Linked DNA regions of Ovis aries. The protein of the gene in region 2 purifies or fractionates together with the protein of the main gene of each other region. This does not show direct contact. Links are inferred from orthologs where the notes say so. Each region holds a gene or a part of one and is shown on either strand. Other genes may lie near its edges.

What was found.
Region 1: the proteins of GSK3B (region 2) and MYH9 purify together in Homo sapiens (affinity purification with western blotting; 4 studies listed by BioGRID, with this or other methods). This does not show direct contact. The link is inferred for Ovis aries from reciprocal best matches to the Homo sapiens genes GSK3B and MYH9.
Region 3: the proteins of GSK3B (region 2) and AXIN2 purify together in Homo sapiens (affinity purification with mass spectrometry; 9 studies listed by BioGRID and IntAct, with this or other methods). This does not show direct contact. The link is inferred for Ovis aries from reciprocal best matches to the Homo sapiens genes GSK3B and AXIN2.
Region 4: the proteins of GSK3B (region 2) and AKAP11 purify together in Homo sapiens (affinity purification with mass spectrometry; 4 studies listed by BioGRID and IntAct, with this or other methods). This does not show direct contact. The link is inferred for Ovis aries from reciprocal best matches to the Homo sapiens genes GSK3B and AKAP11.

The regions. Positions count from the first base shown.
Region 1 is NC_056056.1:180,445,163-180,452,966, forward strand, and holds the start of MYH9 (myosin-9), read right to left. Parts: upstream 4,263-7,804; 5' UTR 4,212-4,262; coding exon of another isoform or gene 3,971-4,211; intron 2,791-3,970; exon of another isoform or gene 2,611-2,790; intron 1-2,610. Other genes in the region: uncharacterized protein LOC114114032, read left to right, coding at 3,971-4,211, 4,563-4,948, 6,066-6,139. UniProt on the Homo sapiens protein: Cellular myosin that appears to play a role in cytokinesis, cell shape, and specialized functions such as secretion and capping. Required for cortical actin clearance prior to oocyte exocytosis. Promotes cell motility in conjunction with S100A4.
Region 2 is NC_056054.1:185,711,599-185,719,447, reverse strand, and holds the start of GSK3B (glycogen synthase kinase-3 beta), read left to right. Parts: upstream 1-3,867; coding exon 3,868-3,955; intron 3,956-7,849. UniProt on the Homo sapiens protein: Constitutively active protein kinase that acts as a negative regulator in the hormonal control of glucose homeostasis, Wnt signaling and regulation of transcription factors and microtubules, by phosphorylating and inactivating glycogen synthase (GYS1 or GYS2), EIF2B, CTNNB1/beta-catenin, APC, AXIN1, DPYSL2/CRMP2, JUN, NFATC1/NFATC, MAPT/TAU and MACF1.
Region 3 is NC_056064.1:61,408,207-61,414,418, forward strand, and holds part of AXIN2 (axin-2), read right to left. Parts: intron 6,167-6,212; coding exon 5,975-6,166; intron 5,696-5,974; coding exon 5,459-5,695; intron 4,925-5,458; coding exon 4,829-4,924; intron 3,712-4,828; coding exon 3,544-3,711; intron 626-3,543; coding exon 499-625; 3' UTR 1-498. UniProt on the Homo sapiens protein: Inhibitor of the Wnt signaling pathway. Down-regulates beta-catenin. Probably facilitate the phosphorylation of beta-catenin and APC by GSK3B.
Region 4 is NC_056063.1:12,780,769-12,788,539, forward strand, and holds the start of AKAP11 (A-kinase anchor protein 11), read left to right. Parts: upstream 1-3,277; 5' UTR 3,278-3,541; intron 3,542-3,727; exon of another isoform or gene 3,728-3,802; intron 3,803-3,914; exon of another isoform or gene 3,915-4,014; intron 4,015-4,052; exon of another isoform or gene 4,053-4,598; intron 4,599-7,771. UniProt on the Homo sapiens protein: Binds to type II regulatory subunits of protein kinase A and anchors/targets them.

The DNA.
Region 1 (7,804 bases), on a different chromosome or scaffold from region 2:
ACCTATAGGTACTCAGTCTCGATTTTTTAAGGGCTTCAAGGATTCCCACTATACAGCTGTACCATGATTTATTTGACCTTCTTAATGGGCAGTTAGCTTATTTCCTGTCTTTCTCTAGACAATGCTACAAAGAATATCCTTGGACATTTCCCTTTGCATGTTTGAGTTTATCTGCCCGTGAGTTCCTAGAAATCAGTCAGAAGGACTATGCTTTGACAGATATTGCCCAACTACCTTCTATAAAGAGAGTTGTTACAACTTAGACCCCATCAGCAGGGCATAATGGCACTTAAGAAACTGGGGCATTATGGAAAAATTTAAATTCCTGCGTGTCTCAATTTCCCAAACTCTCTTGGGTATAACTGGCAGACACATAAACTGGTGTGGTGTCTCTGTGAAGCAGTACATGCCTTCTAGCAAAATCAAATGTACCCCCAACCAGGGCCAGAGCCAGAAGCCAGGCCTCCAGACAATAGGTCCAGTGTACCTCCATGTCACCCCTTAGCTCTCCCCTGGACCACGGAAGCTGTGTCTGAGAACTAAAACACAGTGAGCTTGTGTATCTTCTGCCTGAGCCGGGGCCCTGCAACAAGGTTAGTGAGCACAAGCTCATCACCAAGAACATCAGCAGATGGGCCCCGGAACCATCTGTTTTTACCACTCAAGCTTTGTGGTCCATAAGCAAACACACACACAGAGCACATCATTTTTAGAAGCAGAAAGAGCATTGAGCTAGGAGCCAGAAGAACCATCTACCCTTCCTATCCTGTCTCCTTACCTGACAACCCAGGGAATGAAGACTGACCACATACATTTTCTTAAAAATGTACACAGTCACTATGTATCAGGCCCTTTACATACTTAATTTCTTTTAGTTCCCACATCTAACTCTGTAGGATGGGTATCATGACTCCTGTATTACAGATAAGGACACTGAGGCTTGGGGGGTTAAGTGACTTGCCTACAGTCATATAAGTGGCAGGGTCAGGATCTGAATGCTGTCTAGTGCCAAAACTCAGGACTCCACTCCTCCCAGCTCTCATGAAGAACCGGATCCCGTTAAGTCACAAGCCTACTGCTTCCCAGGGGGCAGCCAGGGTTCCATTCCGTTGTCACCAGAGGGCTTAAGCCCAGGGGCTCAGCACACCAAGGGTTAAAGCCAAGAGGCAGTGACTCTCTGGGGCTGCACAAAGGGAAAATGCACTTCCTGCCCCTGTGGGCAGAGATGCTGTATTATGCTCAGCAAATTAGGAGGTTTGTTTAATTAAGACGACACACAGATATTGTTATTCTAAATATTTTTGGAACATGATGCTTGGGAGGAAGCTGTCAAGGCCTGGATTTTTTTTTTTTTTCCTTTGCCTGGGGTTTCTCTCCGCCACCCCTCCCCACTGCCCCCACCCCCACCAAGAGAAGGGTAGGGCCAGGCTCAGAGGAAAACAACAGCCAACTCCTCCTCTCCTTTTGAAATAAAGATGTCAAGCTGGTAAGGGCTGTCTTAAGTACTTTATGGAAGGATTAGCTAGAAGAGGAAGTGAAGAAAGCACAGTTAGCCTGGCTTCTAGCAATACCCTCCACCAGGCGACACAACAATGCAGCATTTTTTGAGTGAGCTTTTCTCCTTTTGAAAAGCTAACAGATCCGTGTTTTGTTTTTTGCTGGAGCAAGAATGGGCAAGAGGCAGGCTGTGATTAACATGCGTCCTTCATCCAGTGAGAGGGAAGTTGTCCCATCTCCAACCCCTTAGGTTAACAGTTTAAAAATAAAAAATAAAAGTCAGAAAGCCCTGACCCTCTCTTTTCCTCTACCCTCACCTGCCCTTCAGACAAGGAGCCCCACAGAACGCACCTCTGGGAGTTGCCCTTCCCCAGACACTGCCTGCCAATCTGAGCACCTGGATCTGCCATGGGCACTGCCGGGACTTGCTGAATCTGAAGAACAGAGCTTTTTTAGTGTCACCCTGCAGCCATCTGGGGGGCACAGCGGCTCTCAAATTACACTGAGCAATCTCTTGACGTTTTTAATTACACCTCAATTATCGTAAATGAGTCCTCACTTTCCAACACTGAATGCTTGCCTCGGTTTGGCAAACCTGCCATGTCCTCCTTCCTCGAGGCAGCTTTCCTTCTCATCCCAGACAGAAGTGGCCCCTCTCAGAACTCCTCGAATCCTTTGTCTGAGGCCTGTTTGAGACACTCATCACAGGCAGCTTCTGTATTTCAGTCACTGGGCCACTATTTCCCCCTGAGGACTGTAAACTCCCCTAAGGCAGAGGCCTCTGGGCTCTCCATAGGACGGGCTGGCTCCCTTCTCCCAATCCCATGACTCACAGCACCCTTCTAGGGTCTCTGTCATCTTCGCCTCACCTTAGAGTCATCTACGGATTTGTCTTGGCTCTCCCCTAAATGCCCCAGGGCACAGGCCAGGTCTTACTCAACCTCACACCCCACCACCACCTGGCAGAGTCTCTGGCACAGAGGAGCCAGTTAAATATTTGCTCAATTACACATCTGTGTACCCTCCCCCCACTCCCAGCAGCCTTGTATATAAATTGACTAATATTAATCAAGTGACTGTCTAAATAGGCCTTAAACCAGCCTCCCTTCTTACCATAAAGGGAATAAACCACCCGGTGAGGTTACAGGTTCAGACAGCACTCAGAAATGGCCACAGTGTTGCAGGAAGGCGCTAAGGTTCTTCCAGTTCAACAGTTACTCAACAGTTACTTTGCAATCCTGTTAAGCCCAGGAAAGGGTGCAGCGAACCCAGAAGCGGCTGGGTCTCTCAACTGCCCAGCGGAGAGAGATCCGCCGGTGCATAGGACCTGGGACTTCCCGGGAACCTTTTCCCCACACCAGCTGGGTGGGGCCGCAGATAGCAGCCCCGGTGCTCACCCTGCCCCCACACCTCAAGACAATCTGCAACCTAGTCCAGGAAGATACTCCGTCTCTGAGACACCTGGGCTCTTGGGGGCGCGGTGGGGGGGGGGGGGTGCAGGCCCGGGTGGGGGGCGGGGGGTAGGCGCAGGGGGGTGAGGGGTGAAGTCCTGCCCTGGGCGTGGCCCCTGGACAGCAGGAGATCAGGATCCTGAAAGAAGACATTTGGGGCGGGGGGCGGGGGGTAGCGGGGTAAGTAGAAAACCCTGGATCTGGCCCAAACGGGCACGATGCAATAGCCCAGCCCGGATCCTCTAGGAGCAGAACCCAGCTCTCCCCGCCCTCGCCCTGCTGGGGCGGTCCGCAGGTGCGCTGGAATCAGGTGCGCGCCGGGGTCGCGGAGATTGGTGCGGGCCTTCCCGGGCCTTCCACTCCCAGGAAGCAGAGGCCAAAAGTCAAAGGATGTGGATCTGTGAGGGAGGGGGAAGTCTTTCCTGTCTCGAGCCGGGATCCCCACCGGGTCCCCTTTCCCAAGCACCCGGCAGCACCTCTCCCGGTCCCCCTCCTCCGACCAGCCGATCGCACCCGGGCGAATGAGGAAGTCTGGAGCCGAGGGCGGAAACCGGGCCAAGAGCAATGTCTGCTGCAGGACTGTCCGATTCTGACTCGGGAGGACGCCCTGACAGCTACCAAACGGTCCCCGCCTGCCCGCTACCCCCGTTTCGAAAACGCCCGGAAACTTCCCAAGGAGCCGCAGCCCCGAGCCCCCCACCTGAACCTCGCCCAAGCAGCTGTGTCCAAGGGACAGAGGCTGCCCGGAAGGGGTTAAAAAGTTTGCCCAACTTGGGCACTGGGCGAGGCGAGGGCGGGGCGCGTGCCCCGGCGGCAGGGGGAGGTCGAGGCTCCCGGGTGCCCGGGCTGCGGAGTGCGCCGGCGGGAGGGCAGGGAGGGGGTACGGAGGGTTTCCGGGAAGCGCCCGGCCCCAAGCCTTCCTCGGCTCCCCGGTCTGGCTTCCGTCGGCGTCTTCACCGAGCATCCACGCGGGGGTCCCGGGGCCCCTCTGTGAAGGGTGCCCAGCCCGCTCTCCCCAGCCCATGCCTGCTCGCCGGCCGCGCGGAGGCCGAGAACCACTCATCGGCCCGCTCGCCCAGACTCCACGCGTCCGGTCCCCGCCACCCCCGCTCACCCGCTCGGGGCGGGACCCGCCGGTGGGGCTCGCTCACCTGAACCTGGATCTGCCCCGGGGAACAGGCGCTGCTTCTCCCGAGAGGGCTTCCTCGAGCGCTTCGGGCGACGGCGGGGTGGGGCGAGCGCGCGAGGCGGGAGCTGCAGCAGGTCAGCCTCGCTCAGCCTTCAGTGCCCTGCCCAGGAACAGCTAGGATCTGCGCGCCTCACCGCACCCTGCGCTGCTCCTCGCCGCCCTGCCGCCCCGCCCCTCTCAAAGCGCGCCCACTCCGAGCCCGGCGCCGGTTGCGGGGCGGAGCCTGAAGGGACGAGCCCGCCCCCGAGCTGTCTCACCCACTCCAACCAGCTGCTGCTCATGATGAACAGACAGCTTGACCTGTGGAAAGGCAGTGGGTGGAACCTATAGGCCCAGAGGGGTGGGAATACGTTCTCCCATCCGCCCCCATCTCCACCCTCTCCACCTTCCCCTGGTCTTCCTAGGCGGGAGCCCCGCCCCCTAAGGCGGGCACAACGAACCGCCAGGTTCCAGGAGAAGGATTGACACAGAGAGAATCCAACCAGGAGGAGTAGAGTCTCAGCGGATCCCGGCAGGGATTTTGGTGCATTGCCTGATTCCGGGCGAGGCCCGGCGGGAGCCGACTGAGAAAGTCCGGGCTGCTGACACTCCGCCCCGCGAGCTGTTTTCCCTGACCCATGTCATTCTGTTGATACCAGAACAGATATTAAGTACCATATATGGGAAAAGTGCTATTTTACAATGCAGATGGCCTGTGGGGGCGGACCTGGACTCAAGCCTCGGATCCGTTGTGGGCGCCCTGAGTTCCATTTTCGACCCTGTCTTTGGAGTGCGCACGCTGCAGTCTTTCAGCCTCCAGACATCTGCTCCGGTGGGTTCCTTCAGCCTGGAGTGCCCTTCCGAGCCTCTCTTTACCTCCACGTGGTTAACTCGCACATTTCCTTTCAGATATTTTTTCCAAAATGTTTTCTTGGGGTTCTTCAGGCTGGCAAAGCGCAGTGTGTGTGTGTTACTGCCCACAAAAAGAGGATTACAGAATTTTTTTTTTAATTTTTAAAAGATTTTGTTACATTAAAAGAAAAAGATTTTGTTACATTTTTAATCCATCTGGAATTCATTTTAATTTTGGAGTGGGAAAGAAATCGAATATAATTTTTGTAATAGCCAGCTGTCCACACACCATCATCACCTACCAACTCATATATTCTTGGATCTGTTTCTGGGTTGTATCCATTCGTCTTTCTGTGTGTTCCTGTGCCAGTTCCACAACACTTTAAGGATGGTAGCTCTATAATACATATTATATCTAAGAGGGAAAATTTCTTATTACTCTTTCCTTTTGGAATGTTATTCCTACTATGACTAGCTTCCAAATGAGCTTCAAAAAAAGTATGATCCATAGGCAAGACAAACCGGAAAAAAGGTTTTGCAACTCTGTGACAAAGAATCACCAACAATATGTGAATATCAACAATATGCACCCATAAGGTAAACCCGAAATGCTTTAAAATAAAAATGGTCCAAAAAGGAACGGTCTATTTAAAAAGAAGGAATAAAAATGTTCATGGAATGCCATTTTTCACCTATGAAGTTTTTTTAAAAAGAATAAAAAATGTCCACCGTCAGCCAGATTTAGAGATTACAGGTGAGAAAGTAAGTTGATCAATTTTTCTGATAATTAATCATAAAGTAATAATTGGAAAAGCACACCAAGATGAGTTTAATAGTTCTTCTTTGCAGCATATATAACTTGCATAATTTTTCTAAAACTGGGAGAGACTCACCCCAACATCATCTTGCATTTATCTCTCATAGCACTAACACACTAGATTTTTAAAAATATTTTTTACTTTATTTATTTTAATTGGATTACTTTACAATATTGTGATGGTTTTTGCCATACATCAGTATGAATTCGTCATAGGCATACATGTGTCCCCTCCATCCTGAAACCCCCTCCCACCTCTCTCTCTACTCTATCCCTCTAGGTTGTTCCAGAGCACCGGCTTTGGGTGCCCCGTTTCAAGCATCAAACTCACACTGGTTATCTATTCTACATAAGGTAATGTATACGTTTCAATGCTGTTCTCTCAAGTCATCCCACCCTCTGTTTCTCCCACTGAGTCCAAAAGTCTGTTCTTTACACCTGTGTCTCCTTTGCTGCCCTGTACACAGGATCGTCAGTACCATCTTTAGATTCCATATATACGTGTTAATGTACAGTATTTGTCTTTCTCTTTCTGACTGACTTCACTCTGTATAATAGACTAGGGGTTTATCCACCTCATTAGAACTGACTCAAATGCATTCCTTTTTGCAGCTGAGTAATATTCTGTTGAGCACTAATACATTAGCTTTTAATTGTCCATATACTTACTGTTTCCTCTGCCTGAGCTAGGAGCTGCCTGAGAGCGGATAGGAAATATGCCCTAAATGTCTCTGTGGACCCAGAACTGACACAAGGCTTGACATAACATGGTCTTAAGTGGATGCTTGAACAAGACTCAGAGAGCATCCATTTCCTTATCCATAAAATGAGTGCAATCACAGGGCCTTGCCTGCAGGACTGTTGGGGAGAACACAGGAGAAGTGGGCCTGTAAGTGTTTTATAAACTGCTAAGCAGTGTGTACTCTTGCCTGGAAAATCCCATGGATAGAGGAGCCTGGTAGGCTGTAGTCCATGGAGTCGCTAAGAGTCAAACATGACTGAGCGACAACTTCCCTTTCACTTTTCACTTTCATGCATTGGAGAAGGAAATGGCAACCCACTCTAGTGTTCTCGCCTGGAGAATCCCAGGGACGGGGGAGCCTGGTGGGCTTCTGTCTATGGGGTCGGACACAGAGTTGGACACGACTGAAGTGACTTAGCAGCAGCAGCAAGCAGTGTGTACTTAACAACAGAGCATTATCAATGATGATCGTATCTATTTTCCTCACCTTCAACCTCCTACACCACCTTCTCCAGAAAACTGAGGTCCCTAAGAAGATGGAAGGCCTGTCAGCTGAGCTCTGAATTCTCTCCTCATCATCTACTAGCCTGGATACCTTCCTACTTCAGGAAACCCTCCTGCTTACTGTCCGACCTAACCCTTCCTCTGTCTCCTAGAACCTACACCCTGGTGGTATTTTAGAAAAATATTTTATTCTCTCCTCATCATCTACTAGCCTGGATACCTTCCTACTTCAGGAAACCCTCCTGCTTACTGTCCGACCTAACCCTTCCTCTGTCTCCTAGAACCTACACCCTGGTGGTATTTTAGAAAAATATTTTATCTATTTTGTCTGAGTATTAAAATAGTATTATGGTTGGTATACATGAGTGCTAAGTTGCTTCAGTTGTGTCCAACTCTTTGCAACCCTATGTACGGACTGTAACCTGCCAGGCTTCTCTGTCCATGGGATTTCCCAGACAAGAATACTGGAGTGGATTGCCATTTCCTCCTCCAGGGGATCTTCCCAACCCAGGGATTGAACCCACGTCTCTTACATCTCCTGCAATGACAGGCAGGTTCATTACCACCAGCATCACCCAGGAAGCCAGCCCATGGTTGGTAGAGAAAATACTAAAAAATAAATCAAAAATATCTACAACCTTACCAACTCACTATAGCACCTATTAACAAATGTTATTTCCTTCAAATCTTTCTCAGACTGAAGTCTGAAGTTGCTTAGTCGTGTCTGACTCTTTGCCACCCCATGGACTGTAGCCTATCAGGCTCCTCCGTCC
Region 2 (7,849 bases):
GCTCTGTGGACCTTAGGTAAGTCAGTATATATTTCTGACCTTTAGTTTCCTTTAAGTGGAGGTGATAACAGTACTTATACTGTATGATTATAATCTGAGATAGCATGTGTGAAACACTTAAGAACAGTGTCTGGCACATTATAAACACATAAATATTAAAATTACTATAAACTGATAAGTGGTTAACAGCAAGTGAGAAGGTAGAGTAAGTTTGAAAGGTCAGAGAATCATTGAATGTTACTTTCAGTGATACTGTATTTTCTCATAAATTTCTCCCCTCCTTATGTCCTAATTCTAAATTGAACTACTTTTTGTTTTCCTATAAGACTCACCTCCCCACCCTATCCCCCGATCAGATTTTTTTTTAAGTGTCAGTTCAAAATTGAAGGCAGCAACAGTAGAGCTACTAATCATAACCTCAAGGTAGACTATTTTTGTACTTTATTATATAAAATAGAATAGCTGTTTCCAATTTGTATAACCTAAACATTTGTCATTCAGCTTCCTGCCAGTATAACTGGGAGTTGAGATGGGGAGTAAAGGCAGGATTTCTAGCTTTACCTCACAGCAGTTTAGGGACTAGTGGCAAAGGTCTACATGGTAGTTTGCAGGGAGAGGCAACAATCATTTGACAAAGGTGCCATGCACTGAGTTTGCTTTCAACATTCTTTACCCTTCTCCATGACATCCAGAGACCTCATGTTCTGTCTTCACTGCAAAGAACAAGAGCTTCTACCACTCCTGGACTATCAAAAACCTATGTCCAGATTTGAGATTACAAATTGATTGCAGGTTGGTCACATCTACCCTGGAATGTTTTTAGTTTGGCCTGCAGAGTTTGGAAATACTGGTGTAAAAATCGAGAGATTTCATACAAAAATCGTGCTTTATAAGGGTTTCTCCTGGTGGGGATGGGGGGAAGGGGACAGAATATCTCAGACCACTGTATCCACATTCTTCAGGGCAACAATCTGCTGGAGCCGAACAGCTGCTCCTTTCAGTTACAGCACAGACACTCCAATTTGCCACGTTGCTTGTCACTCCCCATTGTCTACACCAGGCCAGTTTCACTCATTTACTTTACTTTTCTGGCCCCTAAAAACATGTGAGTTTGCAAACCCTATCTAGACCTTTCCTGTCCTCCATCAAAGATTACTCTGTTCTGTCCTAAGTTCCTCATCAGTTTTCCAAAGCAATAGCTAGTTAACCTGATCAAGTAATTTTTATATGTGCTCGCTACAGATGGTATCTGAATAGAAAGGGATGACTCTGCAGGTGGAAATTACAGGCACCATGGGATTACAATTAGGATGGCAACTGTTCATTTTACTTTTTCTGTAACCGTAACTCACTGTCCTTGGGCACACCCCAGGAATCTGAACACTGGCCTATGTGCGAAACCTACTTAAATAGTACTTTTATAGATCACCCTCGTTCCAAAAAACTAAAAACTATCAAGGGCTATTCTGGCTCCCCGTTGCCTCAGAGGCTTCGGGATATCCGGCCTGACTGCACTTCCCCTCACCTGCTTTCGGGGGCCGTTCTGCGCCGACTGGTCGCACCCCAGAAGGGCGCTCAGCCAGCATGAGCTCATTTCTCAGGGGCCTTTCTGGAAGGCCGGGCTTGGCAGCGCGCACGAGGCGCAGTCGCCCTCACTCTTATCAATGGCCTCCGCGACTGGGCGGGGCGCGGTCGCCCAGGGGCGCTGCCTCTCTAGAAGCTTTGTTCTCAGTTTAATGTCTGAAAACTCGCACTCGGCCTGAGAAGCGCCCTGGATCTGTCTGACCGTTTCGGGAAAGACGCCCGTACTCGGGATGCGCTCTCCCGGGCGGAGGGGAACCCCGGGCGCGCAGAATTAGCCCCGCCCCACAGAGAGCCTCCAGTGGGTGGGGAAAGCCCCTCAATCAGTTTGTTGGAGCGAGGGACCCAGCGCCACCGACCACACCAGTTTCGCACCGCCTCGCGCTCCCTATATGCGGTTTCCACACCAGCTGCGAGTAGCCGCAGGCGAGGCCGTCAGACCGTCCGCCACGACCCCAGTCGCGCTTCTCCCCGCTCCTAGGACTGCCGCCGGAGGCTGAAGGCCAATCATACTGCAGCTAGGTCTTGCGATTAGACAGCAGCGAGTGCAGATTGGCTACTGCTACGAGTTTCGGCCTCCCTCCCTTTCCCTTTTGCCCCCATTCCAGCTCCTGAGCTTCAGGCCAATGAAAAAGCGCTTTATAGACGCCCTCCCTTCGCTCTCTACTTCTCCCCACCTCGGCGAGGGAGGAGGCGTCCTGACTGGCCAGACTGTCCTCGGAAGCCCCATTCCCTTCACCAATCACCGAGGGTGCTGCACTCCCAGCGGAGTTTCGGCCAATTACAAAGCGGCCACGGCGCCCAGCCGTGCGGTTTCGCCAGCGACTCCGGGCTTCACTGTCCTTAACTCTTCAAGCTTTTCCTGAGGGCCAGCGACTCTGATTGGTCACTGCCGAATTTCTCCTCCAGCCAGCCACAGAACAAGGCGAACCCACCTTTTCCTCGGTCGGCTATCTTCGGCATTTTCCGTCCTTGGGCGTGAATTTCCAGCGACACTTTCTGATTGGCTCTTCAGGTCGATCGGCTTTTTCCGGGAGGATCCGCAAACAAACGACATCCGTGATTGGTTCCGCTCGGGTTTCGGCTCCCCTGTCGAAGGGGGCGGACGCCCCGCTCGGCCGGCGATTCCCAGACGCCTCTTACGCGGGCGGCGGGGCGCTGGGCGGTGTAAGGCTGGGTGGGGGAGGAAGGAGGCGGAGGACGAGTAGGAGGGGGGAGGGGGAGTGGGGAAGAGCTAGGCGGCTGCGCAGACGGCACTCCTCACAGAGAGCAGCCCCCGACCCGGGCGAATGCGGGCTCGTGCTGCTGCTGCTGCTGCTGCTGCTGCCGCCGCCGCCGCCGCCGCCCGGGCCGAGTGACAAAGGAAGGAAGGAAGGAAGCGAGGAGGAGCCGACCCCGCAGCCGCTGACAGGGCTCCGGACTGGGGGCAAAGCGCGGACACTTCCTGAGCGGGACTGTGCAGAAGCGAGGGGCGGGAGGGCGGCCGCGCTGGTGCCTTGGACGGGGGAGGGGGCCCCCGAGGGACGGAAGCGGTTGCCGGGTTCCCATGTCCCCGGCGTATGGGGAGCAGTCGAGGAGCCGCTGCCTGGGGTCTGAAGGGAGCTGCCTCCGCCGCCGCCGCCGCCATGGCCGCTGGATCCAGCCGCCGCCTGCAGCTGCTCCTGGCGCAATGAGGGGAAGAGCCGCCGCCACCGCCCGACTCTGACTGACTCGCGACTCCGCCGCCTTCCAGTTCGCCGGGCCCCCACCGTCAGCCCGCCGGATCCTTGCCGCTGCCGGAGCCGCAGCGTTTCCCGACGCATCTCCGAGCCACCCCTCCCTCTCCCTCCCTCCTTCCCATCCCCCCTTCTTTTCAAGCGTGAGACTCGTGATCCTTCCGCCGCTTCCCTTCTTCATTGACTCGGAAAAAAAATCCCCGAGGAAAATATAATATTCAGAGTACTTATTTTCAATCCAGTATTTGTCCCCGTTTCACGTGATATATATTTTTTAGGATCTCCCACCCATTTCTGCCCTCCAAGGAAAAGGAGGGGAAAGAATTGTAATTTTTTCCCAGCCCCGGATCGTCTATATGTTAAATATCCGTACTGATCTGTCTTCAAGGAGAAATACATCGCTCGCTTTTTTAAATAGCTGTACAAAAGGAGTGAAAAGGCAAGAGGACGAAGTCTTTTTCCTGTGGGAAAACTTAATGCTGCATTTATCATTAACCTAACACCCCAACATAAAACAAAAGGAAGAAAAGGAGGAAGGAAGGAAAAAAGGTGATTCGGTAAAAGAGTGATCATGTCAGGGCGGCCCAGAACCACCTCCTTTGCGGAGAGCTGCAAGCCAGTGCAGCAGCCTTCAGCTTTTGGCAGCATGAAAGTTAGCAGTGAGTATTGATTTTATTTTACACCCCTTCTCCACCTCCCCTTTGAATAAGAGACTTTGAAATACCAGGATCTTAAAATACGAGACCTGCTGATAAAACAGAGGTAATGGGAAAGGGCAAAAACCTGTCTTCAGTCAAGGATGAGGCAGCTTCCTTTTTTCCTCCTCCCATATCCCTTCTCCGGTCTCATTAACCTTGAATCGGGGGAATGGGATTTTTATTTAGATGATTCTGTCTGAAACTTAGTTCTTTTCTTACAGTTTTCTAGCAATTGATAGTCAGCTTTATTAAGTGGTTGAGTGTTTCCACCTTAAAATAGTGATGGAAGTGTTTACTTGCTCATCCTTTTGATTAAAGCGAAGGACAAGACTCATAAACCATTATGTGCTTTTCCAGAGTGTGTCTTTTGGAATGAGGGATAGTTTAGTTCGCTCAGGTCTCGAGGGTTACCATAGTTTTGTATACTTAATGGAAGAGGTGAATGTCACCGTCTCCTAACATTTCTTTCTTACTTGTGTGACTATACAAAGTGTTTGTTCTTAATCCAGAGATGAACTCGCTAAGTAACCACATTTCGGTTGGAAGGCGAGCTTTGATTTGTCTCTTTAGAAGGGACGGGTACCGCTGATAGATACTCAGTAGCAGTAGTATCTCAACATGCATTGTTCTAAATTGGATACGCGGTTTAATATGTTATCTCTTAACCTTACCGTTTTGACATTGCCAATCTACCACTATAGAGTTAATGTTTAATCAAAAGGTAACTTGAAAGTAGGTCCGAGTTTTGAATGGGGCTTATATTGTCATGTTGCTAAATAGTAAGTTGAATGTTAATTGTCACTGACTCATCATTAAAGTTCAGCTTTGGGGTGCCATTGCTTTCAGTACTTGCTAAATGATCTAGAGTTCAGATGTTCCTTCTTAGGACTGCTTACAATACTCTCGCATTGTTTTCCTTTCGAATTCAGATAAGGCTATGAAGTTAGAAGAATATGGATTTAGACTTTATCATCATAGGTTTTGCAGAAGGTTGTGGTCCCAGATTTAATAGAGGTATTTGGGCTTTGTTCAAGGCTGTTGCTAGACGTCTATACTCTCTTCCCAGATTTGTGCTCAAAAAGTCTATTTTGAGTGTTTGGTATACTAAGTATCCAGTGTTTTAACGTATCTCTAGTTATGGATATGTTTATGTGATATTTAATGTCAGTTTATTTAAATATACTTAAAGAATTCGACAAAAATATCTATTATAGTTTCCTTATTCCTTCAGAAAGGAGCATGAATGAGGGCAAAGAAAAACTTTTACTGCTTAGAAGAAGGAGAGAATTGAATTGAGATTTTTTTTAAAAAGGTATATGCTGTTATGTGAAATTGATTATAAAATGAACACTCTTACTTGAACTCAGGATTTCAGTTCATGGTGGCTTTTGGAACTTGTCTGAAACAGGGTAGTCTAAGGTAATAGCTGAATGGGAGATTATTTTTGAGAGTTAAATTTTTTTTTTGGTGACTAGCTAGTTCAGAATGCAGAGTATGTGAAGAGGGAAGCTGATGATGCATCTTTCAGGGAATGGTCAAGCTTTCTAAGCACTTCATGGGGTCATTTGAGAGGAATATTTTAAAATTCTGGGGTAATTTTCAGCTATGATGAAGCAAATCTTATAATAGCTCCTTAAGAGCCTCTTGTGGTACTGGAGTGTTAGGATGTTTTTCATCTTGGTTTAAAGACCACTTGAAATCAATTTTAGGTAATTAGTTTATTCAGAGAGCAGAATGGGATACCTAATAATATTAAATTTGGGGACTTTTCATTTAGTTCACAGGATTTTCTATGAATCCTTTGTGGATGTTGACTGAAGATGGAGTAACTCTTGCAAAGTGCAGGTGAAAATGTTGACTTTTCTGTTACCATATAGGTCAGCTTAACATTTAAAAGATTGGAGTTCAGTGTTGACTATGTGTTTTTGACAACCGTAACTTTAAATACATTTTGGAAGAAAGCCTTTGTTGGAATGCTGGTGTTCTAAGGGACCCCTGTTTAAGCGATAAGAAATTATAGTCCTTGCCTTGAAAAGCTTATCAGTTTTTGAGGCAGATTATGGGACAAAACGTGAAAACAGTAATATGATGACTGCAAGATTATAAATGCAAATAGAATACTTTGTTCAGAGGAACAAAAAATAAAGGCATGAGGTAGATGGCTTGGAGAGAAGACTTCTTACAGAGGTATGTTTTAAGGCAGGTGTTAAAGGAGGCAGTAACTTATATTGAGAAGCATAAAGGATTCTAGGTGGACAGAATGGACAGAGGCACAGAGATGGTGACTTTTGTATTTTTGTATTTATAAAGCAGGTTAGTAAATCTGAATAAAAGGGGCCTAAATAGGAAAATAAGAAGAGATGGAATTTGAGAAATATGTTAACTGATGGAAAGCAGAGGGGGCTTATGATTATGGTTGAGATTCAAGAGAGTTTGGAATTTACTATAGGTTGATGAACAAAATATTTGAAGATGGTTTGGGCAGCAAAGTTGATGAATTAGAAACCAGACGTCAGAGCCCTTTTAGGGAGTAGTAGAGTATGTTGTGAATAGTGAGGCAATATAAAGCAAAATTGAAAATCGGATGAAAAGAACACATTTGAGAGACAGCGTGAATGAACTGGTAGGACTTTGGATTGGATTGAAGGGGGGAGTATTTGGGAAGGAGTCAGGAGTTAAAAATAAATTCTGATGTTACTGGTCTGGAAGATTTGACCGCCAAGTTATATTGTTGATTGTAATGGGAAAGTTGAGAAAGTGCTGAGATGGGAGGATAGATGAGTTCACTTTTTAAAAATTTAATATTTAGATTTTCTTGAAATTCAGCAGACAGCAGTTGGTTACTGGCTATCGTATTTAACTTAACAGTCTGTTTATTGCACTGTCTCTAATTTTTCTATGTCTAAAAATGCTGGATTTATTTTCAGGAGTAGTAAACTGAAAGTTTTTATTTATATTCTTTCCATTTCTCAAAAAGAAAATAATTTTTAATGTAAATTCAAAAGATCTCATACTTGAAACCTAGTTATAATAACCCGATGGTAATTTATTTGAAAACAATGAAAATATTTTTTGGACTAAGCTGTAACATAAGCATTTTAGGTATTTTATACAGCCTTCAATCTTTGGTACATTCTTAAAACTAGTTTCATAAATAATGGTTATTTTAGGTAAACCTTGCTGTTTAAAATAATGTTAATATGCAGACTTCAGCAGAAATTAAAAGTTGATTTATTCATTTATTTACTTTTTGTGTTTTGGTTGCGCTAAGTGTTCATCCGGTTTAGAAGAGTATATTTGATTTTTTTTTTTTAAACCTCAATGTTGTGTAACTATTTTTTTTTTTGGTCTGCATTCATATTCAAGTGTTATTAGATAAATGTTAATAGCTAGACAGTTCTTCTGTAGAGTCACATGATATTTTACTCAAAATGGAGGCAGTAAGGTGCTATGGTGATTTTTTATTAAAATATTAGTAATAAGTCTTTTGATAAACTGTTAGTGAAAATTTAGCTAGTTGCCTAGCTAAGTCATGAGAAGTTATTTCCTCATACAGGATTTTTTATATCAAATTTCTTTAGTGAAGAGAATAATAGTAGTTGCATATTGCTGTGCAGTATTTAGTTGCATGGTGGCTAAAGCCAAAGAGTAGGTGGCAACTTAGAGTTACTCTATTCCTGAGAGAGTTTAATCTCTTTGTGTCATATAAAAATCAGGTTATTAGAATTTCACTAGTTTCTAGATTTTCCAATGTGAAAGAGAGCTCATGTGTGAAACTGAAAACCAGAATTTTATCTTCGTTAAAATTTCATTCCCTTCCCAACCAGACCTTTCCAGAGTTGTTAAAAAACTAGA
Region 3 (6,212 bases), on a different chromosome or scaffold from region 2:
TCCCCCCCGCCAAGATCATCCATCGACAGGACCTCCACACCAGGCCTCCAGACCTATATGAAAACACAGCAGCGCGGGGTGGGGGCGCGGGGCAGCGGAAAATGCACCAATCTCCGCGTGTGCGGGCGGCAGGGCGCCACCCTGAACAGTCCGTCTTCACGCAGAGCTTAATTCTTGGTGACAGAGAACCACGAAAATCCCTCTCCCGCGTCCACACGCGGGGCGCGGGGGGCCTGTTCAATAAATACCAGCAGGGACTCCTGTGCAGGTGAGCCGCGGCTGGATTCACAGCCCGGGTTGTCGCACAGGACGCGCGGCAGCCTCTCGGGCACAGTCAGCATCGCCGGCGCCGAGTGGTCCCGTTTCTCAAGAGCAGTTCCGGCTTTCCTCTCCGCAGCGCCGGGCGGCCCGGGCGGGACTCGTCCCGCGCCTCCGGCATCTTCACCGCGTGGCTCTTCCGCCGCAAGGCGGGGTCGCGGGCGCCGCGGCGAGGGGCGCTCAGTCGATCCTCTCCACCTTGCCCAGGATGCGGCCCTCGTACATGGGCAAGACCACCTCGTCGTCCCAGACCTCCTCGAACACCGCTCCGCAGGCGAACTCGTCGCTCGCCTTTTTGAAGTAATACCTTAAAGGGAAAACCCAACAAGCGCTTGGTGAAGGGGCACTTTCCACGCGTCTTGAGAAGACTCTGTCAACAAGGCGGGGACCAAGGGGTCTCGAGAACGCTGCTGCGTGGGGCTGGCAGGGAAGTTGCCACTGGGATCTGCAGTGAGAGCCCCCGGGCTGGGTGAAGGGCAAAGCCAGGCGGGCGGCCTGGAGGCAGTGGGCCAGGCTCCTCCTCCCCGCATAGCTGCCAGCAGCGTTGAGGCTGCAGCCTTCAGTCCAGGACGGAAACCTGATGAACAGCTGCTTCTTTCTCCCCAGTTTCTTTTGGGGGTGGGTGGGCAAAGCATGCCTGGAGTTCACCTGCAGGGCAGCCTGGGGAGGCCCCTCAAAGAGCCCTCAGACTCAGCTATCTGATTCTGTGAAGCCTGCGGGAGGCGGGTACCTGTGACACTCCCCACCCACCAGTGCCTGACTGGGCTCGGGCACAGCTGGGGGCTCGGGCACAGCCGGGGAGCAGGACTGGCTGCTTCCGCTGTGGCCACCACCGGAGGTGGGCAGCTCCCTGCCTCATGGGGCCACTGAGACCCCCCCCCCCCCCCGCCACTGTGACTCTCCCCTCTGCCCCGGTCCCCTCGCTCCCTGCCCCAGGGTCAAACGCCAAAAGCCCCTATTCTGTGTGGATGGAAAGGCCCTGGGTCCCACCCTGGCCTTCCTTCTTGAAGCCACTTGAAGGCACCGGTGCAGATGACCAGCCCGTCCCAGGAGAGTCACGCCTGAAACGACTGCTGTCCTGTCTGCCCGGCCCACCCACGTCCCTGCCTGGACACCATGCCAAGTCCTCTGCCTCCCCCCGCCCCGGCCAGGGAGACCCCGCAGACAGACTAAACTCGCCCGTGAAGGCTGTCGCCTTCAGGCGGCAAAGGCCCCTGGGGGAGGGGAACAGCTTCTCAAACAATAAACGTGTGACTGCGTCTCAGGGTTACGGTGGGCCTCTGTTTTTATCTTTTCTCCTTAAAAAGCTTAGAGCTAAACGTCTCTGCTCTTCAGTGAAGGCAGGCCAAGTACTCGGAAAGCCGATAAGGCTAGATACGGTGAGACAGCTGGAGGTACTCAAGGGGCTGGGCTACGGGGGCCAGCAGTGGAGACGCCGGTCCTGGGTGGCCCGCTGAGACAGGGCACCGTGGGTGGGGGGTGGGGGGAGACAACAGTCTTGTTTCCCTGGAGAGGCTCCGATGCCCCTGGCACCCCAGGCCCACAGCCCTCGGGGTCAGCACGGACCAGAGCAGGGTGGCTTCCTGGCCTCTCTGAGCAGGGGCTCGTGGTGACCGTGTCCATAACTGCAACTTCCTCTAGGAGCCCTGACCCCGAGACGTCAAAGGCGTAGCCCCTGGCTTCTCGCCCCTGAGACCTGCTTCACGCCCTGCCTCCCGGGCATCTGGCCTCTGAGGGCGGCTCCCCTCCCAGCCCTGCCCTGCAGCCCAGGCCCCAGCCCATCCTCGCTGGGAGTTGGGGGCAGGGGGCAAGGTGAGTGCGGCAGCACGCAGGCTGAGAAGACCAGGGGCCAGGGGTCCAGCTCCGGCCCGGAAGGGCGGCAGGGAGGGCCCGCTCGCCACAGCCTGATCCAATCAGCAAGGAATGTGAGCGCAGAGTCCGCTCGTCAGAGGAGGGCTGGGGCTTCAAAGCCCGGCTCGCTGAGCGTGCCTCGGGACAGACAGGATCCAGGCCAGATGTGGCCAGAGCGTCCAAGCGGGGGCTGCCCTGCTCCATGCTCTGGGCCCCCCGGAAAGTCACCTGCAGTCCCACGCAAGGGCCAGCCGCGCCAAAGCTGAGGTCCTGATGGGTCCCTGGAGGGGGACGTGTGCCCCTACCCTCGCCTGGGTCTGTGCGAGATAAGCCAGGCCCGTTCCCCCTCTGTTCATCTCCAGAACCACCTCTGCCCAGGTGTGAACCAGGAAGACGCCAGCCCGGCCCAAGGCCTGTGGTCTGTCACTGGCACGGTCCCAGCCCTGAGCCCTGCTCCCTTCCCTGCAAACCAAGTCATTCCGGGCTGCAGGGGGCCTGCTCTGAAGGGCGGGGGTCTCGGGCCCGGGAGGTGGGCTCACCCATCAGGCCACTTGCTAAGGGATGCTAAAGTTCTCGCACTCCCTCCCTCGCTCGGGGGGGCACTGGGGCGGTAGCTTCTGCGCCCCAGCTGGGCTCCTCTCTGACCCGTGCCCCCTGACTGCTCCCCGCTCCTCGTCCTGGCCCTGCACATGGCACCCAGGACACAGCTGGACACAACCCGCATACTCCTCTGGGATGGAGGCAGCCGACAAGGCCAGCTAGGGCTCTGGATGAACCAGACAAGGCAAGAGAAAAGTAACCAAGGACGCCTGGGGCTGGCACGCCAGGGGCGGGGTCTGCACCCTGTAGGTGGGGAGAGGCCTGGGGGGACGGCAGGGCGTCTTCCCCAGGTCCTGGCAGGAAGAGTGGGCAGCCCTGTGCCCCCACACCCACCCACAGGTCCTGCCCTTTGTCCGCTTCAGGCCACCCTGCCTCACACTACCTGGGACCCAGAGCTGAGGGGGCACGATGCCACGTGTCATGGGTGGCAGTCTCTCCCGGACCTGCCCAAGGGCCGCCTTTCAGCCTCCTCATCAGTCTGTCCGACCCCTCTGTTCTCCCCACGCTCTCCCTTTCAGGCTCCTGCCCGGCTCTTCTGAAAAAGCCAGCTGTCCCCTGGCTCCTGAGTCCACTTCTCCTGCTAGAGAAAGCCCGCCCAGCCCTGTGCTATCTCTAGGAGGGGCAGGGGTGGGGGAGTCGGAGGAAAGGAGACAGAGCAAAGCCCCAGGTTGCCCGCCCACCTGGCCCCTGCAGGTCTGGGGGCTGAGAGGTGACCCTGGCTCTTGGTTCTGAGCAAACCGACTCTGGAGCAGAGGAAAGCCACAGGATGCTTACCGGTAGTTTCCCTTTTTGCTGAGCTGCTCCTTAAAGTGGCCCAAGGTCAGGCTCTGGGCCTTCAGCATCCGCCGGTAGGGGATCTCCTCCCCGCAGAAGAAGTAAGTGACCACCAGCTCACTGGCCTGGAGCGCGTGCATCCCTGCCAGCTTCCTGGGCTCCTTGTGGCTGAAAATGAGATGGAAAAGCCACAGGTCCAGCATTTGAAAGCGGTCAGAGCGCACACACCCCCAGGAGGTCTGCAAACTGTATCTTCAGAGGTGAGGCTGTAGCTGTGTGTGCCGAGGGCCCTGGGCAAGGTCATCAGTGCAGGGCACACAGGTGTGTGTGTGCCGCCCAATGGGAGGACGGAGCCATGTCCATTGGGGGGCATCACAGGGAACTTGCCTCCAAAGATAGGAACCCTCCCAGAGTGACCAGGACACCACACTCGCCCCAGCCAGGGTCTGTGGTTTCTGCCTCTGCCCAGGGATGGCGTGAACTCGGAACGCCAGGGCCCATGGTGGGGGTGTGTGGGGATCAGCCCTCAGTCACTGCAACTTCTGAGTTTTTGCAGAATGGCTAAAAAAAGCGCAATAGGCCCAAACACCTGGTCAACTTAAGGTCAACCAATTAAAACACTGTAGAGGTTTTTTTCTCTCTTTGAACACTACTCATGATAGAGCAGCTAAGGACGGACAGGTGAATGATTTCAACCACTTCAGATCTCAGCAGCTGACCACTCTTTTCACACACCGTCCCGGAACCAAAAGAAGCCTGGCTTCCCTGTCCGGTCACAGGAGCGTAACTTGACAACAGGAACTGGGGCATCGGCGGGGAGATGCTTTTCCCGCCACTCCCAACACCGGCCCCTGCAAGACAGCAAGGATGGGCCCTTCGTCTGTCTCTGCAACCGGGGAGAAGCGCCTTCCTGCTCAGTTCCACGCAAACGTTTTCAACCCATTAGCCTTCCAGGTGGATGGGAACAGCTTTTCCATCTGTGTTTGGGGTTCTCTAACCAGAAGCTAAAGGCTTCGCTCTCAGCTTGTGACCTTGAGCCAACCACCACTTCACGAAGAGGACACCCGCGTGTTACTACGAGTCACCATGCGTTCCTCTTGGACAGGGGTTTTCCAGACTCTGATCTATGGCACCATCTGGGTTTACAATTCCTTGTCTTGGATGTTAAAATCAAGATGATTTTATAGACTAAAAAAGTTTTCAAAAATTGCAACCCCTGACATGAATACCCTGAAAACACAAAGCCTCTGGGCAGACCTCAGCGTCACCAGGCCAAGACACTCACTCTTCCAAAGCTGGGCTTGGGCTGGAGAAGGGCGCGGCGCCCGGCATCCCAGGGCCCGGGTGGCTCCTGTCCTTCTGCTGGCCAGCCGCACAGCACCTAACACAGGAAAGGTTGAGAGGGATCCCTGGGGCCAAGAGAAAGCAGAGAGCCAGCCTCCCCTGCTTCCGACGTCCCCCGGGCGGAGCCCCACCCTGGCCTTGTGTGGACAGGAACTCCCAGGGCCAGGAAAGGTTGAGAGGGATCCCTGGGGCCAAGGGAAAACAGAGAGCCAGCCTCCCCGGCTTCCAACGCCCCCTGGGCGGAGTCCCACCCAGGCCTTGTGTGGACAGGAGCCCCCGGGCCTGGCCCAGCCATGCTGAGCCCTGGGCCCCCGGGACTACACGCGGCCCACCCAGGCCGAGGGCTGCAGGTACTGGATCCCCAGCGGGTCACAGCGCCTTGGAGCTCATCTCACAACCCCCACTGACTGGGACACTCAAGGAATGGGATTTGCAAGGAATTTCAGAGATTCCTTCTCTTTCTTGCAGGCACGACTGGCCAGATCCCAGTGAGCCTGTCAGAGCAGCTGGACCTCAAGGCATGGGTCCTCTGGCCTGCCCCGCCCCTGACTGCTGCAGCCTGTCTACTCACCGCTGCTTTGGGGGCTTGGACACTTCAGCCAGCCGGCGGCACGCCTCCTCCAGCTGGGCCAGGGTGTTAGGTGGGGTCAGGGGAGGCACCGCGGAGTCCTGGGTGCAAGCTGGGTGGGCCCGAGGAACAGTGCGGGGGTGCCCAGTGCCGCCCCCCCACAGGTGGTGGCGGCCGGCCCGCTCTGCTGGGGACATGCGGGCCGACTCCGTGGGGTAGGCCCGCTTGGTGCTCTGGGCGCTGGAGGAGAAAGGTGGAGAGAGGAAACCGAGGGTAAGAAATGCGGTTAGGAAAACTGGAAAATGTGACTCCACCAGCGAGCTCTCCATCCTGCCTCCGGAGAGCAAAAAGAAAAAAAAGATAGCTGGGCCATACCACCACCTGGCGCTGCCAGGACGCGGCACTTCTGCGGTCTCAGCGCAGCTGCTGGCGCTGGGAGGGCGGCAACCCCCGCCCCCTCGCTCCGGCCACCCGGACAGCCTACCCCCACGCCCCGGGGCGGGCCGCGCCGCGGTTCACCTGTGGGGCTTGGGCTTGCCGGGCCGCTCGCTCTCCAGCACCCACTGCCACACGACCTGAGCCCTGTCTCCTTCCTCCCCAGGCGGCTGCAGGGACCCCGCTCCTCCGGGAGCCCCGGCTTCCCTGGCCGGCACCGTGGGGCCCGGCTCGGAGCCTCTCGCGCTTCGTCTGGGGGGGACGCCGCCCCGGCTGCTGGTGGGACAGAGGAGCGCGTCCATCTCAGCCCCCGCGAGCGCCG
Region 4 (7,771 bases), on a different chromosome or scaffold from region 2:
CAAGGAGGTCTGGCCCTACCTCCAGGAACTGAAACGAAGGCTATCTGAGAAAGAATGACATCAGAGCAGGGAAGAAAGTTAGGAAGATCACGGGTAGACCAATCAGACGCCACTGAAAGGTTTTAAACAGGGCAGTGATATGGCCAGATGTGAAACACCCAAATAGAAATGCCGGCCTTCTGGGGATGAGTGCAGATTTCAAACAGCAGGCAAAAAAAGACAAAGCTAGGGGCTTCCCTGGTGGCCCAGTGGGAAAGAATCCACCTGCCAAGGCAGGAGACACAGGTTCAATCCCTGGGTCTGGGAAGATCCTCTGGACAAGGGCATGGCAACCTACTGCAATATTCTTGCCTGGAGAATCCCATGGACAGAGAAGCCTGGCAGCCTAGAGTCCACGAAGTCCGGAAGAGTCAGACATGACTCAGTGAGTAAATACCAACAGGAGCAAAGTAACTCTGCTAGGAGAAAAAAAATATGGACTTGTAAACTGGATATATATTATTTTTAAAAGTATTAAAAAAGAATAAGCAACATCCACACAAACAGCTCCAAACTGGAAATAAAACAAATGTCTATTAATTGACAAATTGATAAATAAAATGTGCTATATCCATACAATGGAATCATTATTGGGCAATAAAAAAATGAAGTACTGATACATGCTACATGATACATGGATGGCCCTTGAAAACATTAAATGACTTGAGTGAGACAAATGACCACATATTGGATAAATTTGTTAATACAAAATTTTCAGAATAGGAAAGTCTATAAAAATTTTTTTTTTTATAAAAAAAGGTGTTGTATAGGGCTGGGGACAGGGTGGAGGATTGACTGCTAACAGATAAGGGGTTTCTTTTTGGGGGAAAAAAAAATTGTTCCAAAGTTAGATTTTGCTAATGATTGGGCAACTCTGGGAGTATACCCAAACCACTGAATTGTACATTTGAACACTGTATGATAAGCGGATTATATATCAATCAAGCTGTTAAAAAAGAAAATAAAAAATTATCTAGAAACTAGGGACACCTGTAGAAATGGATTTCAATCCTAATTTCTTCTCATTTTATATTTGTTGGCCTAGAAATAATTGTAGATCGCAAGAGACAACAGTGACTGTCTGCTAGCTTGAGTTGGGAGCATTTATTGCTGTTTTAGTTTAGGTTAGAATGAGAGAGTTGCGCCCATTGTGCATTAAACTAGCAGTATGGAGCAGCTGTTTCAGTTAATCATTATAAGGACTGCAAACAGCATTCAAAGAGTACTTACTTGGTTCCTTCAGCATTTTAAATGAATGCTCTTAATATGTAAAATAATACTTATTCTCATTCAGTATTTTTCCTTTCCAAAAAAACCCTATAGTGTTGAAATCTTATTTTCATTAAAATCAAGGTGTTGGCTTAACTTTAAAATATTGCTCCAGATCTTTAAAACATTTCTTTTCTAGTTCTTAAATTCTGATTAGGAATATGTGAGTCATTATTACATACTGCATAGGTTCAAAATAGCTACAGAGAAAGGGAATATGAGGTTGAGGTGGTGGAATGCTTCCATTTTCACACTCTGAGAAGGCCAAGGTTTCTTAGGGAAGCATTCCTGGTATCTGTATTAATCAGTTTGATAGTTTCTCAGCTGCTGTGTGTGCGTGCATACGTGTGTGTGTGTGTGTGTGTGATAGTTTCTCAGCTGTTGTGTGTGCGTGCATACGTGTGTGTGTGTGTGTACGATCTTCCAATTTCACTTCACTTGTGCTGCTGACTCTGTTAGGTTTTTATAAAAATTCATTTCATTTCCCTTTCCAGCTTCCCTCTTGCGGGTGTGTGCATGCCAAAATATAATTCAGGCTTAACCACTTTGCGTGCAGGCTAGTTCATTGTCTTGTTTTATGTATGAGGAAGCTGAGACTCACAGATGATAAGGTACCTTGCTTGATTTGGTTGAGTCACCAGTTAATCGAGTTCTTCTAGGTGGAACTCAGGTCTCCAGATTTCTGTTTCTTGTTAGGGAAACATCTCCATTTTCTAGCCCTCGACCTCTATCTTTTCAAATCTTATACTCATGAATAAATATCTACATTGAACATCATTTTATGTTGGCTATTCTTAGAACTGACCTTTGTACAGAAGAGGTGGTAATCTAGGAGTTGTAAACGGAGGGGGAAAAATCAAAGGTAACGATTTTTGGGGGGCCATTCGTTTTCCCCTGTAACAAAATTTCCCATTTATTTCTCCAATTTTAATTAAACAGCAGTAACTGAAGAATATCTAGATTTTTTTAAAACAAAATATGGCAAACAGAACCAGGACTCTGACCTAACAGATTTTAGAACAAGAATGTCAATGTCAACCGGAAATTAAAAATTTCGGGGCTCCTTCTTACATAGATTATAATCCTCTAATCTCCCATCTTCCTCTGTGGCCTTAAGATCCGTGCTCTGCAGCGAAGAGCTTAAAATTATTAAACCATAGACGTCTCTTCCCTATTTAAAACTCTCCAGTGCTTTCCACTGCATTCAGAATAAACTAATTTCTATATTGGCTTACAAAACCCTACAGGATATAACCTGTGCTTGTTTACTTCTCCAAGCGTGTTTCCAAGCTTACTTTCCTTTTACTTTCTCATACCTTCCCCCTCAAGCCCAATTTAGGGCCTTAGAATTAGCAGTTTCCTTTGCCCCAAATGCTTCTGTGATATTTGCATGTCTGTTATGCAAACCGCTTCTTAAATGATTCCTCCTCAAAAGGGCCACTCCATTGCAATCGTCATCACATCATTCCTTGCATTTCTTTTGCGTGGAGCTTAACATCGAGATATTTTTCTCCCGAGGATGCTCAATCGAGAGTCTGAATAGTCCCTAACATAGAAGCTCAACAAAAATTTGTTAAGTGAAGAAACGAACATATGAATATGCTCTTTCTTCCTTGCCCTCCTCTCTTCCAACCAAGGCAAAACTCATGACGATGCAGTTAAAAATGTCCTCATCTATCAGGTATCTCCACTCTTGAGGAAAAGATGTCTTCGAGGAGGCTGCAACTTCACTGGACTAGCCTTCCGATTCTACCTTGATTCTAAACATATTAGCTTTTCATCTCCGTCTTGATTTCTCGGTGATCAAGGCTTTACTTCCCGATTCTGACATCGCCTCACGACGGAAAGGTGAGCACTAGGGCCTGGAGATCCCTTGATGCCAATTGTTGAGGTCTGCACGGGGCCGTGGGCCTGGAGCGCTGTGAGTGGTCCTCCGGGAAATGCAGGGAGGAAGGGGCGGAGCTGTGTCAGAGGATGAGCCCTTCTAGAGCCATCGGATCTCGAGGGGCTGCCGCTATGGGAAGGGGCCCCCGGAATCAGAAGCAAGCACAAGCTAGGGGCGAAGAAGGAGCCCAGCTGACCTCCGGCGGTAGAACCTAGGGGACGAAGGAAAGGAGGCAGGGCCTTACACCCGAACCGCAGAGCAAGCCAAGGTTTGGATATTTTGCCAGAGGAAAGGGTTAAACGGTTCCCCAGGTAACGGACCAGGAAGCGCGCAAGACGTCTGCGGGAGGTTCGTAGGTCAGCCTCGAGTTTAAAGCTCCCGTGGGCCAAGCGGACTCTGACCAATGGGAATGCCGCTGGGCGTGGTCACGTGACGCGCGCGGCCATCCGGCAGGCAGCCCCGGAGCACGTGGGAAGGCTTGTTCCTGTTCCTTCTCTCCCGTTTAAAAAGCCCACCCACTTTTTGCGCGGGCTTGGTCGCGGAGTTCTTCTCGCGAGAGGCGGGGAGTCCTCTCGCGAGAGCGAGTGGGAGGCGTGAAGACTCTCGGAGGTGTTGCGGGGTGGACCTGTGGTGGCGGAAGCCGGGGGCGGGCGGGCCGGCCGCGGGGCGGGGAGGGGGGGAGGGCTGGGGGCCGCTGCGGGAGGGGGGCGCCCGCCTCCTTGGCCGCTCGCGCCGCTGGTCGTTGCGGGCGGGTGTCATGCTTGTGAGCTGCGGAGGCTGCGGCCCCCCAGGTGAGCCTTGGCGCGGGTCCGCCAGCTGAGGTGAGCGGCGCCCGTTGGCTGGGGCGGCGGCGGGGCGTGGGGCCTCGCTGGATGGAGCGGCCGGGAGCGGCCCGCAGCCCAGGCTCTGACTGCGGGGCTGCCCGGAGCTGCGCCTTCGCACGGCGGAGGGAGGAGCGGGGCGGGGAGAGGCGAGGAGAGGAAGCCCGAGGCTCTGGGCCTGAGGAAACGGGGACGGGCGACCTCGGGCTTCCTGGGGTCTGAGGGCGGCGGCGGGGCGGCAGCTCTTTGGGTGACAGACAGGCCTAGTTTCCGTCCCCTAAGGTGGTCTTCAGAGCCGGGGCCCCGCCGTGCGTGCTGCTGCGTGTGCCTCGTTGGTGTGCGTGCTGCACGCACAGAAACCTTTGCGGGAGGAATAGGAGGATGCACTTTGTCCCCCGAACCAACAGCCATCCTCTGTCAGATCTCTTTGAGCCCTGGAATCGGGCACAGCCCAAATATTGTGACAAACGGAAAGCGTCAAGCAGCTCCTCGGCGTGCTACTTGGATTTATCCGCTCCCAGATTTCCTTCAGCGCTGTTAAACGGCTCAAATGCAGGCCACCACTCCTCATCTGAATGGACTGGGTAGACTTACTCTTTTATTCCAGGCACTTAAATTGCCTTATTAAAAAAAATACGTGGGTGTGCCCAAAGTGTTAAAAACGTTGGCAGAATAACAATGGGAGTAGAATCTGAACCGCAGTGTATGACGTGGGGACAGGCTTTCTGGTTTCCTTCCACTGAAACCCCTGGTAAACTGGAGGTAGTTTAGCTTAAGATGCTAAGGAAATAACAGGGTGAGAAATACTGCTGAGACATATCTGATGGCCTTTTTGCAGCCTGGCGTTAAACATTCTGGTTCGCTTTTCAGCCTTGTAATTCCTAAGTCCCTTGCAAAACTCATAAGCTTTCCTTACCTGTTTTCCACCTTGTTAGGGATGATGTATTGATTGATACTGATTTTGGTATGTCTGGAAATAGGAAATGTACTCAGAAAATTCAGGGTTCTCAGCAGTTATTTTAATGTCTTATTATTATTTATGGTTTTAGAGGAAATGGCATCCCAGTGCCCAGCACAATCACTGTCAGTCTAGATACTACCATTTTAATGAAGCTCTTTAAACTCACAGTTATATTTTTCAGGAAGTACACTGATTATGCATACTTCTCTATGGCTCTTGTGGCAGAACTGACCCAAAGGTTGACAGTGAATTTCACTCTTGGCTGTAACAGAAGTTTATGAGAAATCTGAGAATGTAAAGGGCAGTCAGAACAAATTCCCCAAATTGAACTGGTACCTAGTGATGAATATCTGTACCCACTTAGCTGCTCTGTTAATAAAGGCCTAGTGGTTTACCTCCAGGCTGATGATATCTCCCAGTTATTGAGGAGATGGGACCTGCCGAAGACCCTGAACCACAGTAAGAAATTATCTAGCTTTTCAACTCTTCAGAGAAGTCTAGAAGCTGAAGAAGTCTTCCTTTGCCTTTCAAGGCTGGAAGAAGGATGGTGCATTTGTTTTTCTTTTTTTTTTTTTTTAAATGAAAAATTCCAGGAACTTAACTGTCTGGAAAAGTAAACCAAATCAGATGATAAATTTTAGGTTATTCTTAGGGAAATTTCCACTAATGAGTAGGCTGTGCTGTTATTTGTACTTGGAGAAAACATGAAAAACTTCAGCAGTATCTTTCTGAGAATGGGCAAAAGAGACTTATAGATTTAAGAAGTTCTCTGCCATTTCATCTTGGGAAGCTGATTTTCAGGGATAGAAAAACTTTTTTTTTATTTTGCTGGTTTTTATCACTTGTTGGCAATATTTTCAGGTTTAGGATGTAGATACTTGTTAATGAAGTCACTTTGGGTAGGGTGATTATTTGATAAGCTAAACTATTCTTTTTCTGGCCTGCATTTTAGTAGTAAAATCAGTGATTTAGAGGAAATGAGGAATGGGACAGGTCAGGAAAAGATCTAAGCTGGCCTGGGCTTGAGTTAAGGGTTAGTGTATAAACTGGTAAAGTAAGGAAAGAAACATACTTCTTCAATTTAGGAACAAATCAGACAGCTCCAAGTGGCTTTATTCTGTCACTTATCTTCATATATTAAAGTTTATTATAAAATATTAGCATCAAGGCATTTGAAATGTATAGGTTAGAGCCTGGACAAGAGAAAAGAAAACATTTTTGGACTAATCAGAGAATGTTTCATGGGAAAAAATAGATAAATGGCATAGAGGATTGGAACAGATTAGATATTACTTGAGTGAAAAAGAGGTACAGTGTAAAAGAAAAAAGTAAAAAGAGTTTGTGTTTGGGAATCCAGCAGATCTGTTCGTTGATATTACAAAGCCTCTTTTTCTTCATCCCTGACAGGAGAGTTTTTAAAACCTTAGTTACTGTGAAGCACATAGTAACTGCTTACCCAGTGTTTTTTCTTTGACCTCTTTTAATGTCTTGAGGATTATTTGCCTGCAAGAAACAGAAACCGTTTGAATTAACTTACTTAAAAAGGGCGTTTGTCAGACAGAAGCGTCTGAAGTCCAGCTCAGCGTTTGGAAACCAGAACAGGCAGTTAACCAGCCTGTTTTCCCCTGGGAAGCCATGACATGGGTCTTGTGTCTCTGTTACTCTGTAATGTCTTGTTTCGACTTCTTTCAGACTGACTCTTTCAAGTTCTTGGTTTCTGTTTCCCCGTACCTTTGGTTTGTATGAGACTTTGGTTTGCTTTAGTGCCGACACAAGATGTTTTGATTTTGCAGTATGGTTCTCTAGAGATATCTTCATGTCTTAATTCCAAATTTCTGGAGAAATAGATAGTCCAGTTGGTCAGGTACCTACTTGTAGTCCTGTTGCCTGAGGGTGGGGAAAGATGGAGAAGATGTAGGTGTGCCCTACACGAAAGTCCCAAAAAAGTCCCACAGTTTGTATTTTTTCAGGCTGGGTACTATAAGTTCTGTAGTAAAGGGGGTGTGAACAGGCAGGAAAAGGTGGGTACTTCCGGTGTACTCTGACCTCCTGCAGTTAGAATTTTCCCCTTAGTAATCCTCTGAACTTGTTCTCAGCAATGATCTCCTTCAGGACAGGTTCTAGGTGTATGAGGGCCAAATGTGTATGTAAATCAGGTGTCCCCAACCTCTAGGATCTAATGCCTGATGATTTGAGGAGCTGATGTAATAATAGAAATAAAGTGAACAATAAATACAATGTGCTTGAATCATCCTGAAAACATTCCCCCCCTCCCCAGCCCTGCCAGTTGGAGGAAAAATTGTCTTCCACAAGACTGGACCCTGGTGCCAGAATGGTTAGAGGACCGCTGAAGTAAATGTTTTGTGTCTCAGTTTTCTTATGTAAAAATGGGTATAAAACAGCAACTTCTGCTGTGAAAAATATGAATTCTGTTTATCAGCAATTCAGCAGTGCCTGCCTGGCAGAGTGTAAGGGATGTGGTGTGACTGTGACTGAGGGCTGTGGGTACTGCGGTGTGGCTCCTGCAGCATTTGAAGAAGAAACTCATTCCTAGCTAAGTCTAGTGCTGACCACTGCATACTTAAAACTGTTTCTTGACTTGAGTGACACCTAAATTCTCCTAAATCTCTACCTGCTTTGACTGCCACTGATTTGGGGTTCTTCGTTTACCTGCCTGGGGACTGTTCGGCATGATTGTCTTCTGTCTTGTCAGAGTCTCTTGGGTCAGCTTTCAAGCTCTCTCTATGCAGATAATTCCTAGATTAGCGTCTCTAGCTCTGACTACCACAGCTAAAT